4 linked regions of the Schizosaccharomyces pombe genome follow. Changing the gene in region 4 together with the main gene of any one other region gives a genetic interaction. Each region holds a gene or a part of one and is shown on either strand. Other genes may lie near its edges. The genes, in order: alg5, car1, crr1 and sod1.

Region 1 (3,925 bases), on a different chromosome or scaffold from region 4:
GGAGCCACCTACTGCCATAGCAATTTGCTTTACACCCAATCTTTGTAAAATAAGTTTATGGATGTTTACATCATCACGTATGGTTGCTAAAGGAAATTCTGGCCCATAAACACTATGAGTCTCAGCGTTCCATGTAACAGGAGAGGCGCTTCCGTATGGGCTACCAAGAGAATTAAGGCATACGATAAAGAAATGTGATGGATCAAACGCACGACCAGGACCGAGTAAAGGACCCCACCAATCTCCAGCATCAGCAGAACCACTTAAAGCATGACAAAGAAGAAGACAATTGTTTCCTTCTTTATTCAAAGTACCCCAAGTCTTGAAGGCAACGGGAACATCGTAAAGGATGTCGCCACACTCCAACGTAAATTTGGGAACAATTGCAATTTTTTGATCTGAAATAAGCTGAACAAATTTATTTTCTTGCTGAGACGGATGACAGGAGTCAGTAAAGACAATTGATTCAATCGGAGATTGAGATTCCATTTTTATCAAACGATTGATAGTCAAATTTTGAAAAAATGAAAGAAACTAAATTTTTTGATAGAACTGAGTTCTCAAAGATGTAACTAACAAAACTCAATGGTAGGAGTTTTAAATAACCAAAAAAAAATTTTTTGACAAAAGCAGATTAGTGTAAGGTTTAACACAAAGAATGAATTACTTGCTTTTGTGTTGAGTAAGCAAATACAATTAGCTTCTCTTCTTTTAAGCGTGAAAAACAAAAAATCGAAAAACCAGAAAGTTTTTACGAAAAAAAACCAAAACTAACGGTATTGCGCAGCAATAAAAATTTTAGGTTTTTTAGTACCAGGAACGGTAAGCAACTATATTTGCTAATTTGTTAAATTCCAAAGTTACCCAAAAACACTTGAATACCAAGATTTTTTTTCCTATTCGGTTATGGTGAAAGGAGAAGTGGTAAGTTTATAAACTTTTATCTCAACCTAATTTAACGGTCTGCTTAGTATTTTGTTAGACAACATTAATTGAACGGTAATCAATAACCGAGTTTGGTATACGGGTACTTCATAATATGCTATTCAAACAACGAGACTTTTTTGTTATCTTATATAAATATAACAGTTTTAACCGTAATTTCAGTAAAATCATGTATGAAAAGGATGAATTTATTAAAAAAATTACAAAGGCTAATGTTTTATAAAAAGTCATTTCATGGATCAGGACTCTGCGAGATCAACTTTCGAAGATAAACGAATCGATAAGGAAAAGGTGTAATAATGTTAAATAAACAGGCGCTTGGTCTAAATAATGATTACTTGCTAGTTTCCTTAAATTTACAATTAATTGACTTGAAGCCAATTTTAAACAAGTGTTTTCAACGTTAAGTGTTTTAGTTTATCAATTTACAAATGAAGGAATACTCAAGACATATTTTATGACCCAGCCAAACCTGTAGTTCATCCTATTCAAAAAGGTTAAGGCAATTGAACAACTTGCGCCCTTAATACTAAGTAGCCGTAAGATATATCATACGATGTTCCATGAAAAAATATTTATATCCACGCAGAATTACAGTCATGTAAGTTTTTTAGGAAAGAGTAAAGGCACCTATTCTTTTAATACAATGTCTCCCAAATAGTCAAAATAATTATATAATTATAACAAGTATGCTTGACTTTTGTGATCTATCAGAAGTTGAGCAACAATGAGAGTCTATTGTAATCGATATGTCTATGCTTAATTGCTTGTAAAAGTAGACATTTTAAGTTGTTGACTGCTACTCACCAACTCGTACTAAAAAATTCGTCTGCTATGACTAAACGATTACTGTTGTCCAGTCCAGTCGGCAGTTAGCCAGAGCCAAACACAAATAATCCCACCGCATGCTTTGTAACTGCAAAAGCTCGGATTTCATTAAAAAATAGCTTAGAGTATAAACGGAGTGGAGTAATTTTTTTTTTGAATGAGTTATTTCTTCCAATATCATAAATCTTAACCCTTCTGCTTTTTGCATAGTTACGACATGGTAGTATACATCGTTTTATACACCTGCCTTGCGGGATTTATCCTTTTGTTCTTGGTAAGCAATATTAGCTAGCATGCTTCTCATTCATGTCCACCCGTCGGTAAATAAGGTCGTTGCGGGCAGAACCTGTTTAGTTTATCTGTACTTTCGATTTTTTGATGTGACATTAGACCAAATTTTTCCCCGAATATTCATTAACCCAAATATAGGTTTACTATTATTTAACTCATTCTCATTGCCCGAGGAAGCAACTGGAAGGAGAGGAAACATGTGTATTCATTGAGAACGGTCAAAAAAAAAGTTTGACTCTTGAGAAGTGGAGCACTTCTGATAATATACAAATAACGGTCATTGTTCCCGCGTATAATGAGTCTAAACGAATCGGAAACATGCTCCAAGAGACAGTCGATCACTTGGAAAAATATTATCGTTCCTCTTCTTCAGCAGGACAACGTCGGTGGGAGATCCTTATAGTTGACGACGAGAGTAAGGATACGACGGTGAATGCAGTGCTAGAGTTTTCTAACAAACTGGATTTGCGGGATCATTTACGAGTTTGCTCACTCAAACGGAATCGTGGTAAAGGCGGTGCGGTAACTTGGGGCATGTTGTACGCTAGAGGTCAATATGCAATTTTTGCTGATGCAGATGGTGCTTCTCAATTTTCTGATTTGGAGCTCCTTTTTAAAAATATGCCACCCGGACCAAGGGGTGGTGTCGTTGTTGGCTCGCGTGCTCATATGGTGAACACGGCTGCAGTAGTAAAGCGCTCATTTATTAGGAACTTTTTGATGCACTGTTTTCACAAACTTTTACAAATCTTAGGGATCAGGGAGATTGGCGATACGCAATGTGGCTTCAAGCTTTTTTCTCGTGAGGCATATCAAAGTATTTTCCCTCGTATGCATGTTGAAGGATGGATTTTTGATATTGAAGTATTAACACTTGCTCGTTTTTTCGGTTTACCTATCATTGAAGTTCCCATTACTTGGCATGAAGTTGGCGGTAGTAAAATGACTCTCTTGAAAGACAGTATTTCAATGGCAATCGATTTGTTGGTAATTCGGTTGAACTATACATTTGGTATATGGGAAAGGCCCTCGGCTAAGCGTATTACTTAATTGGACGTATTGTTGTGGATGTTATTGTTCATTATACATTTTTCCTGAGATATAATTAAATTATGAGAGATACATAAGAATTTTTAGGCGGTTCGTTTCCTATTACTCTTTGTTCCTTTTTTATTGATTGTTTTATCTCCAAGCGGAATATTCTATCTTTGAGTAAGCGATTTTCTACTTGCTCGATTTTTTTTCAATGTTGTAAATACTTCTCATTTCCCCATATATGTACTTATGACGTTCTTTTTATGAAAAATTACTTGACTAATAAATTTACTAATTAAATTCTTTTTAATATTCACAGTTCGTGGTAGTAAGGAACATAATAGATGTATTGTTATTATTACGCAGCTGTTAGTTTTCAACCGAGTCTCTAGCCAAAACTCAACTTTTTTGTATATATGCAACCACAAGAACATATTTACCTAGGTTTGGTTTTCAACGTTGTTGCGTGTGTATCCGTCTATATTTATTGTAAAGTCAGCATCAATAAATCTTAGCAAGATGAAACTAAATAATTTTCATAACATGAAGTACGAAACAGAAAAATAGTTCCGTCCATTTAAACTTCAGCATTAGCAATAGTAAATTAAATGGTTTACCTACCCATTATTCAACTTGCCATAGCAAATTTGAATACAGCGCTATTGCGTATAGCTTCTTTAAAAAAATATAGCACTATCTAGCGTGATAAAAATATAATGAGTTATACTGCAAATGAGATTTTTTGATTTTATCAGTGAGACAACGCAGTATAATTATCAGCAGTAATAAAACCGAAATCAAGATAATCAGAGCGATTACAATTTTC
Region 2 (3,766 bases), on a different chromosome or scaffold from region 4:
ATAAAGATCTTTTTTCGGATTGATGGCTCGTCGCACTTGTCAAGTATATAAGCAAAAATAGATAAGATACAAACGATGGCTGTTATGCATCCGTGGGTGAAAGTGAAAGAAAAACAAATTATTAATTCTTACCACGGAGGAAAAATCTAAAAAGGTATCAAAAATAAGGACGATGGTTATCTTTTTTTCGTTGTATGATGGAAATTGACAATATTTTTTTTTTTACAGTTATTTTTCTCGTTCATTAGCTAGCGCTGACAGAAACTATTAGTACCTCAAAGTTATTTTTTTTAATATTATGGTAATGGTATTGGGGTTCAAATTTTAAATTTCAATTAGTGGGAAAATTCGAATAGAAAATTTCATTTTTGTTAAGACATTATGAAAAATTTGAATTACAAGGAGGAAAAAAACGGTTTATGGTTGGTAAAAAAATATTTTGACGCTTCATAAATGTACTAAAAGACCATCAGTTTAATTGAAAGAGTAGTAAAAGAATTACTTAATTGAAAGTTAATATTGGTCATAATTATAATATTTAGTCAACAGTCTAAAGCATACATTTCGGGTTCTTAGCACCTAAGCAATTCAATTCATGTGAAAAAGTAAAATTCTTTCTTAAATAGTCTAGTCAAGTATCTGAGAACCAAACAGTAACTTTGCCCAAGTTTGTCGGTACAGTGTCTGAATTATGAGATTTTGAGTTTATTAATATACTTGTGTGTTGGGACGTTGAAAAAGCACAGTAGCTAATCCGACGCGTAACATACTTCTAATTCATGATATAGCATAAAATACATGGTTCTACAATAACGTTTGACCAAGACAAGTTCGAACAATAGAGCGAGCTAAATCCACAGTTGTCTTGGCTTCCTCTTTGTTGCCTAAAAGTGGGTTAACTTCCATAACATCAACAGCAACTAGAGAGCCAGTTTCTGCAACACTTTCACAAATGTACATTGCTTCACGAAAGGTCAAACCGCCTGGCACACGGGTTCCAGTAGCTGGAGCGACAATTGGATCACAGGCATCGACGTCAAAAGAAAGATGAATGGGACGTCTCCTTCCTGGATTGATGTGTTCCAATGCCATTTCTACTACTCTGGCTATTCCATATTTATCAACATCGTGCATAGTGTAAGCAGTGATGCTGCGTTCACGAAGAAAAGCACGTTCCATAGGATCCAAATCGCGCAAACCGATGAACGCAAGACGACGCTCTTCAATTACTCTTCTTGTCCAAGCAAACTCTTCAGGAAGAGGTTCGGCATATCCCAAGGAAAAGGACAATGGGCAGCCATGAAGATTCTTTGAAGGGGATGAATCGGGGGTATTAATATCAGCATGGGCATCAATCCACAAGACACAAGCATCATCGTAGACAGCTTGTACACCTTCAACAGTGCCAATGGCAAGTGAATGATCTCCTCCAATGTTGACCGCGATCCTTTGCTTCTCTAGTTCCTGTTGAACAATATTACGAACTTGGCGAGTAACATTGCTAACGTAGAGTGGGTTTTTCATGAGGGCTTGATTAGGGCCTTCTTTTAAAGGTCGACTTTTAAATTTGGGATTTTGAACGACGTTGACACTATAACCAAGACGCTCCAAGTCTTCAGGCAATCCAGCCGCCTCAATCATTTCTGGAGCCAATTCAGCACCGTCCTTGGGTTGACCGCCTGAAAATGGCATATTTATGATAGAGACGGCATTTCCCTCCATGTATCTACTAGACATAATATGTCTATGTACTTCGGGTATTTTATGAGGAGACATTGTATATATTTTTGATTCAGTCAGGTAGAAACGATGTTGTGTATAGCAAAGGACCCTTTGAAGTAGATGGGAGGTTGCGAAATTTATGGAATTCCGTTTTTCATGCCGATGACGGCTTTAATAAATAGTGAGCGTTTGCTTACTCAATAGTCTTTGAGTATTTTATCTACCGGCCGTTATCAGATCTTGCGGGCAATCATATTAGACTCATCAACCTAAAAACGGGATATTAATTCCACGGACTCAACATTTCTATACTCCGTAACGATAGCTCGGTTCACTATTATTAAAAAAAAAAATAAATAAATAAATAAAATAAATCAAACGAAATGAAATAAAGCAAAGAAAATAAATTAAATAAAAATAAAGTAATTCAAGAAAGGAAAAAATCACACTATGGAAAATTAATAGAAATAGGACGTAAAATCATAATATACACCCAACCCCTCTGGGAATATTTTCCATAGCCATTTTTTGAAACAAGTCATATTTACCATGGAACGGAAAAGATCGAAACTAAGCTACGGAATTCCATGGGTCAAGTGACTTATTTTCGGAATTGTATTGTATTATAGCATGATAGATGAAATTTTATTCAGACGGTAGTTTGTTTTGTATTTACAAGTTTAATATGGAGAATATCTGATGAATAACTTATATTTTTTGAACATTGTAACCAAAAAAGAAAAAGAAAAAGAAATAAAAAAATTTATTAAATTGATTGAATATTTTGTAACGATTATTGTAACATTGGTATAGGAGGAATATAAAAATGTTGGTTTTTAAATGAGTAAAGGATAAAAATTAATTTAACTAGCAACAATATCGCCAAGATTAGCAAGCGAGTTTAAGAAGCTATTAAAGCTATAATTGACGTTGTGCTAAAAGGTGTTGTAATGTTATCAGTTTAAGGAAAATGTATATATCTTTTTGTCAAGTTTAACTATGTTTTTATTAAAAATAACAAAATTTATAATTTCTACTGGTGTGCTGCTGACCTCTGCTCGATTTCCTTAATTTGTAATAATTTTTAAGGTATAAATTTTGCAACTTAATTATCTCTCTCAGTAACGCATCAGTGGTGTAGCGGTAACATCAATGCCTTCCAAGCATTAGCTCCGGGTTCGACTCCCGGTTGATGCATCGATTAAATTTTTGATTTTGTATTGGAATCGATTTTTATATTTTTTAGTTTTTTTTTTGTTCAACGAGTAAACAATGCTTATGATGATCAAAGGAAAGCATGCTTCTTTTAGCAATAATTTGAAAAAGGGTGAGACTTAATTTCGGTCATTAATCCGCCGTGGATAGCATGGATATAACTAGATTATTATCACCCATATGCGTTTGGCAACTATTAGGTGAAAAGTATTTAATGTTTATTTTCATCCTCAGGATTTCAAGTTATTAAAATCTGTTATAATAAGTTCATCATTCAAATTAAGAAAATTCAAACAATTAGTAACTGATCGAAAAACAAAAAACGTAAAGCTCCCGGCGGGACTCGAACCCACAATCCCTTGATTAGAAGTCAAATGCCCTAGCCATTAGGCCACGGGAGCAACGTGATTTATTTAAGTATTAGCAGTATATATTGTAATTGCAAATATGTATCAAACCATCATAATTTCATAAAAAACCGAAAGGGTAATGAAAATATAGAAAAAATTAGGGTTATGATCTAGCTAAATAAATATATCACTAGATTACTGATCAACACTAAATAAAAAAATGATCTATTGTGTTGTATACCGTCATGTCCATATTTTTATTGAAATGTCAACCGATCTATCAAAATTGACACTACATGATCTAGACATGCTGAACACGGTCTACATGCCGTGCACAAAAACAAGTAAAAAATCGAATAACACGCTGCAATTGTGTCATAAACGAGTATTCTCATGACAACGATTCATTGTTTAGAAGACAAATTTGCAGTAAGCATTTCCACATTGTTCGGTATGATAGAAACCAGTATCTAGAGATT
Region 3 (4,276 bases), on a different chromosome or scaffold from region 4:
AATTTTTTATACAGATGTAATGACAAACAATATGCTTTAAGCAGCAACTTAATTGTAGTTTAAAATCATATAGAAATACTTAAAATCAATGAGGGTTTGCACTTCAGGATAATGGTAAATGAAAATCACACTTCACGAAAATAAAACGCGTAAACCGTTAATCTTCAAAACTAAATAATACCGCTCAAATTACGCTGTTTTTCCGCTAATGTTCATAAGGGAAATGTTTGAATTCCGTAAAACTGTTAAGGATGCGCAGGGTGATGGTAAAAGATTTGATAGTATATGTTTATTTTGCAGAAATATTCGCCTTGACTATATACAAAGTACTTTTATAAACTAAATAGTGTTAGAAAAGTATAAAGAGAAGCTTCGATAGAAAATTATTTCAAGGTTAAAATGAATAACTCGTTGCATCAAATTAGTTTGAGGTGAAAGGAAGGATATGATTCGTAGAACTGCTAATTCTTCCTGAGAATGGTAAATGAACGGAAAGCGATTTTTGCAGTTTGAACACGATTTGATACATGAGAGCAATACAGTAATATTGTATATACAGATGGAGATAAGATTTGGTTGCGATTTAAATGGCAATGAAATAAAGATCTAATAAGATAACCATTAGTAAATTCTTAGCGAACCATGCTTTCCCACCTGCTAGTAGAAGATGTTTGCAATTCAGTAAACAAAGGTTATGAAAGTCACCAGTATAGCTAAATTAACAAAGTTAGCTGATCAATAATATTGAAATCTCATTAAATTACGATGATAATCTGTCTCTTCAATGAAATAAAAACTTAACACTGTGTAGATATTACGACGGCATGCAAAGAAACTGGAAACAGAGACAAGATATAGAGTTTACTAAAGTATTCAACCTATTCAGCGAATTTTAACAAATTCTTTTTCAATTTAGTGAGTTTACTTTTCAACAATTTTACAATTCATCAGTGAACTCTATACTTTTAAATCATTTGCAGTGAATGAAAATAGATCATGGATAATACTCGTACTTCGTTTTGTCTCATGATAATTTAAATACAAAAAGTTGACTTACAGTAGATAAACGTTAATCTACATAATAAATCATTGATGCAGGTTCAAATACTTCTTTCCCCTTCCAATGAATGAAGAAATCCTTTTGTGCTTTAGCCGCACTCAAGTGAAAAAACTCAGGGAAAAGAAAATAAAACGAAGAAAATGGTGATCTTCTTGTTGACGATTTCCTTGGCAAATTAATAAAACTATGCAAAGCGATTTATTAGTTACATGTATACACTAAGGCCATTGCACTATTGGACACGAGGGATCAACATGCCTTGCCTTTTTGGCAATACAATCACATTGCACTCTTTATGAATGTCGTCTACACAATATAAACATATTAACGATTTGCATTGAAATGTCATGTTATGATCAAATTATAATCTTATGCATGCCGCTTCAGATAATGGCTGGTAAAAATTATTATAAAGAGTTATTTGTTTAATAAATAACAATGCAAGAATTAATTACAACACACTGAGACAAGAATTCTCTGTTTATTTTTATAAATTTTTTTATCTATAAAAGAAGTATAATCGCTTTTAAACTCTTGCTTAATGCTGCCGGTTTGATCGGTATTATAACTAATTGACCGAGAACATATGACGAATAGTGAGAATTACTGTAGCGTAACATTTACTAGCAGTAAGCTTCCTTCATAGAATTTTTCAAAAGCACAATCGTGGATTCTCCCACTTACGTGAACGGATTTTGTCTTTTAGTATAAGCCACAATTTCTGGTATCCGCATTCGCAGCCATCATTTCTCAGACATATATTTGCTTTAAGAAGACCCAGTATTTGGCTGCATTAGTATATAATCGCATTTACATGTAAAATCTTGCCTAGTCAGTAAGATTACAGAATCGTTCTTTTAGAGAGGCTGATTTCATAAGTCTGTGTATGTGCGTGTCTATATACTGAAATATATAAATACACTTATAATTAAAGCTGGTTGGCTTTTTATCCTTTCTTTGTATATCACTGCATATTTTTTGTCCATATTATAAACTCCCTATCTATCGTCTTTCGATAATAATTATTTTCATTTTAAACCGCATTTCTCATCTCTACAAAGCATTATCCCATATTTCCCTTTTTTATTCCCCTTTAACAAGATATCCTTGAGTTTGGTTATTTTTACTAGCATTTTATTTCCATTTCTGAACTTGGTGCATAGCTCACCAGATTGGCATTTTTTTATTTGATCGTGTCTCATTACTTCCCGCTCTTTTTATTCTTATCTTTTCTTTCTTTTTGATTTTTCTCGCCCTTCTTTAATTTGTTGAAATTTGATTAACTTTTATTACTTTTGCAATGGGTATTCCTGATTCCACTACAGATTCACGCCATAGTCTCTCATCTGCTGCGTTGTCCTCTGCTAGCTTTGAGAATATTTACGACCCGGCACGCAAGAACGAGTCAACTAATGATGTTATCGACAATCATACAGACACTGAAATTGATGATCACGATAATGACCATGAAAACCTTGATAGCAATAATAATAACGAAAACAATGAAGCCTTTAACGAAAAGGCTGCAGAGAAAAAGTTATTGCCTTGGTACCGACGTTACTTTATTTGGATATTAATTTTTATAGTCGCTTTAATTTGTAGTGTTCTCATTGGTGTCTTGGGTGGTGTCTTGGGACATCGTACCGCTGTACGAGATCGCCATCCTTCTTACAAAGCTAAAACATATAGCCTTGTTAAAGAATATAAAGGCACCACATTCTTCGACGGCTTTGATTTTATGAACATTACTGATCCCACCCATGGCTTCGTACAATACCTTGACCGTAACAGCAGTGCTAAGCTTGGTCTAATTAGCGCGAATAGTTCCAACGTCATTATGGCCGCCGATAGTAAGCACAATTATAGCAGTGGTCGCCCTTCTATTCGTCTTCAGAGTACCCAGTACTTTGAACATGGACTCTTTATTTTGGATCTTATACACTTGCCTTATGGTTGCGGCACATGGCCCGCATTTTGGACTCTTGGTGATGACTGGCCCAATGGTGGTGAAATTGATATCGTTGAAGGTGTCAACGTGGGTACTAGTAATCAAGTCACTTTGCATACAGGTGACGGTTGTGAAATGGAAGATATCAAGCGAGTTATGACTGGTACTGCATTACAAACTAATTGTTGGGTTGATGCTCCAAACTCGTATAATGCTGGCTGTGGTGTTGAAAATCCTAGTGGTCCTTCTTATGGTGAAGCTTTCAACAAAAATGGAGGCGGTGTATTTGTTCTTGATTGGCGTAGTGAAGGTATTCGATCGTGGTTTTTTAATCGTTCTGAAATTCCATCTGACATTACTTCTGGTTCTCCCCAACCTGCTAAATGGAGTGAACCCGTAGCTGACTTTCCAGATACCAAATGCGATATCGACAAAATGTTTTCAAAGCAAAAAATATTATTTGATTTGACATTTTGTGGTGATTGGGCAGGTTCTTCAGTTTATTCATCAGCAGGATGCCCCGGTTCGTGCAACGACTTTGTTGGTAATAATCCTCATAATTTTACTGAAGCATACTGGAATATCAAAAGCTTGGCCGTTTATCAATACTAAACCCCCTTCTTTTTTCTTTTTGATGAATTTTCTTGATTATATAGGCATAACATTAACATTGCATGCGTGATATCATCTCGATATATTGTGTGTAAATAAAATACATTTTGATTAGAACTTGAAGTAGAGAAACATTTTTTCGCATGTGTTTAGCAAAATGCGTAAAATAGTAATAAGCCTAAGTTTTGTCTGAAATTATGCGAGCTTGAATTTTTTAATAACTTGTGTTCTAATGCCATCGTTTACAAAGTAAATTTCGGTCTTAAAATTTCAATAAATTCACTACGCTAATTGATTAATAATATAGGGTTTAGGAATATTCATATAAGGTACTCTTCAGAAATATCAAAAGGTTTGGGATTCGTATATGTTGTAAAAACGTTTGTTCATTTCTGTTGCAAAATACATCTAAGGGCGGTTTAAGAAACCAACGCCAGAATAAATCACTTGCTGAGAAACAGAAGTAGCACCAGAAATTTCAGCAGGACCAGGCTCAATACCACTCTTGGAGTATCTGGTAACGACAGCATATAGGCTAGGATCATCCAAGGAATGAATAATCAAACTTGTGTCAGCTTTAGGATTAACGGTGAGCTGTTGCTTAAGAGTAGCAGAATCGCCAGTATATTCGGTATACAAAACATAGTCCTTGGCAT
Region 4 (2,927 bases):
AAGTGTATCGTGTAAGCTACGCAGTTTGGTATCTGATTTAAGGATACGAAGAACTGCGGTGAGTTTTCCTTGTGGTCTATTATATTACAATACACAGGTTGTATAAGTAGCAACTGAGTATAGGTATTGTATTAACTGGGCTATAATGTTACCTATCACTAATATAGCTCATAACTGAACTGAGGAACGAGGTTCAGTTGTAACGCTATTTATAATATTTCTAAATAGTTGTTATCAACGGGTATCTATGTATATAGACGGATAGTTACCCGTGATTATCAATAAACGGATCTTAGCTAGTATTCCAACATATGACATATAGTGATACGCAACGTAGTGTATCATAGCGTAGTGTAGTATTGCTGACATATCGTAATGTACCCAATTACGGTAGAATGATTAAGAGAATTGTATTTAGGAATATACCGCCTTTAGTATTATGCGAAACGCTATTTTTTGTAATGAGCCATTTCTTTCGCGCACTAGCAAAATAGTCTCATATTGCTACTTCACGAATAGCAAAAATAAGTCATATAAAATAAGTAGCTCAAGGTAATTACTGTTTTCGGCATAATACTTTATACATCTTGGCAAATTTCTTATATAAACAGCGTCCCCCTCAGAGAACTTTTTCTGTTTTCTACCAAAATAATATGTAGGTAGATCGATGGATAGAAGCGATTAACGTATTTGCAAAACAGATCATCAGGATTTTTTTTAACTCCAAAATAACCATAGTGTCACTCGCTTCCTAGTACAAAGCATTACTATGGTTATGTTATTTTATTTTTTAAAAGCTCAATGATATTATCAGCAGTTGTACTTGCGATTCTTTCTCAAAAATGCATACTGAGAGGTTTGTTCATTATGGGAAAATTATGAGTTCACGAATATTTCTTTCTAGAGCGAATTTTATTATCCTCCTCACGTCGATTGAAGCTTCATAACAATTTGACTGTTACAAGCGATTGCTCCTAACAACTTCCGTGAACGAACGGGCTTTGCAAGTCTACCGACCGGCCTTAGGCTCTTCACACCTAGACTCAAAACGCTAATCTATATACATGTAGGACTTTTATTCTGCGAACTCTAGTGGGATTTACTGAACCAAATGGGGGTTTGATATTTTAGCTAGTCTATGCATTTGAATCTCTATGCAATGTTTGTCTACTCAAGTTTCCCTTTCTTTGAAGATCTTTACCCCCATTAGCGACCTTACTTCAACGTGGTCATTCTTACCTTACGCTAAATGTTTTAACGTCTACGAAAACGAGAACGACGATTGCTATTACCGCAACTTTAGATATCGTTATTTATTCTTCGAGTGGCGCGTTATCATCTTTAGCGGAATTTCAATTCCGCGAAGGAGCACGTAATATGATTACGAATACTGGTGGAGTAAGCCAACGCCAAGCTGAGGTGATGCTCGGCGTAGCTTATTGGCCTATTTTGGAGGCTCGAAGGCACGGACTAGACAATGCTTTGTAAAGCAAATTTGTTAAATCGATAAGTATAAAGACAATTTCTTCGTTTTTAGAATATAAAAAAACATTGGTCATATCGAAAAATTGATTTGAGTTGATATCGTTAAAATTTCATGTATATTCCGCGTGGAGCTATTTACTATATAAGCGATGACACGCCGCCCTATCCTCTTCCAATTCCAAACAAAATTTTCGAAATCTCCAACTTTGAAGTGTGGTTAAAATCTTATTGATTTTCCTTCAAAACACTTAATTACTCAAAACACCCCTTCTCTTGTTGTATTTTTTTAAAGTAAATTATCGTCATACAAAATGGTTAGAGCTGTAGCAGTTCTTCGTGGTGACTCTAAGGTCAGTGGTGTCGTTACTTTTGAACAAGTCGATCAAAACTCTCAAGTTTCTGTGATTGTGGATCTCGTTGGCAATGACGCTAATGCCAAGCGTGGTTTCCATATTCACCAATTCGGTGATAATACCAACGGTTGTACCTCTGCTGGTCCTCACTTTAACCCAGAGGGTAAGACTCACGGTGACCGTACCGCCGCTGTTCGTCACGTTGGTGATCTTGGTAACTTGGAAAGCGATGCTCAGGGCAACATCAAGACTACTTTCTCTGATTCTGTTATCTCATTGTTTGGTGCCAACAGCATCATTGGCCGTACCATTGTCATTCATGCCGGTGAGGATGATCTTGGTAAGGGTACTAGTGAAGAGTCTTTGAAGACTGGTAACGCTGGTGCACGTAACGCTTGTGGTGTCATTGGTATTGCCGTCTAAATTTATTGAGTTTTTACGTCTTTTTGTTCAAATGGCTGTGGGTTTAGGTGTTGGTTAGTATTGTTATCATTTAGTTGAGTGATCTCAAATTTCTTTTTTTTTATGAAAAGTTCCGTATATTATGCTTCTATAGGTTCTGTATTAAAAAACTTAATTTAATTGATGATGATAAGTACTGTAGCTTTGTGGAAGCTGTTTGTTACTATTATGTTATATGTGTAAAAAAATGTAGTGATGTATTTTTGTCCTTAAGACTCTGCGTTCGAGTTTACATAAAATTCAGTTAATTAGAAGGAATTGTTGTAACTTTGTTTCGGTATTGATAATGAAGAAGCAAAAGCAGCAACAATTTTTGATCTTTTAGTCAGAAAACTTTGTTTTGCATCGTTGAGTTCGTGCATAAAGATGATAGAAAGTGCTTTTCGTATTGTTTAAAAAAAGATATATAGAATGTTGATTAATAGATACACACATAGTAGCAATATCAACACATCTTGTTAAAATTCTAATGGGTGAAGCCTTTTTTTTTATTAATCATAATACCATCGTTTCATCTTTGTTGATTTTGTTATTACTTTTACGTATCAATGAATTTTTACGAACTAATTTCAACTAAACAATAACGACAGGCAAGTTTGTGTAAACTGAAAACATCTGCACAAGTTG

The links.
Region 1: mutations in sod1 (region 4) and alg5 together harm fitness less than expected from each alone (positive genetic interaction), as found in Schizosaccharomyces pombe (one large-scale study listed by BioGRID).
Region 2: mutations in sod1 (region 4) and car1 together harm fitness less than expected from each alone (positive genetic interaction), as found in Schizosaccharomyces pombe (one large-scale study listed by BioGRID).
Region 3: mutations in sod1 (region 4) and crr1 together harm fitness less than expected from each alone (positive genetic interaction), as found in Schizosaccharomyces pombe (one large-scale study listed by BioGRID).

The regions. Positions count from the first base shown.
Region 1 is NC_003423.3:4,090,338-4,094,262, forward strand, and holds alg5 (dolichyl-phosphate beta-glucosyltransferase Alg5), read left to right. Parts: upstream 1-1,819; 5' UTR 1,820-1,990; coding exon 1,991-2,047; exon of another isoform or gene 2,048-2,202; coding exon 2,203-3,114; 3' UTR 3,115-3,415; downstream 3,416-3,925. Other genes in the region: homoserine O-acetyltransferase Met6, read right to left, coding at 1-489.
Region 2 is NC_003423.3:323,387-327,152, forward strand, and holds car1 (arginase Car1), read right to left. Parts: upstream 1,845-3,766; 5' UTR 1,777-1,844; coding exon 805-1,776; 3' UTR 558-804; downstream 1-557.
Region 3 is NC_003423.3:1,656,530-1,660,805, reverse strand, and holds crr1 (glycosyl hydrolase family Crr1), read left to right. Parts: upstream 1-1,729; 5' UTR 1,730-2,360; coding exon 2,361-3,620; 3' UTR 3,621-3,749; downstream 3,750-4,276. Other genes in the region: SPOM_SPBC21B10.08C (uncharacterized protein), read right to left, coding at 4,029-4,276.
Region 4 is NC_003424.3:1,002,333-1,005,259, reverse strand, and holds sod1 (superoxide dismutase Sod1), read left to right. Parts: upstream 1-1,659; 5' UTR 1,660-1,796; coding exon 1,797-2,261; 3' UTR 2,262-2,422; downstream 2,423-2,927. UniProt on the Schizosaccharomyces pombe protein: Destroys radicals which are normally produced within the cells and which are toxic to biological systems.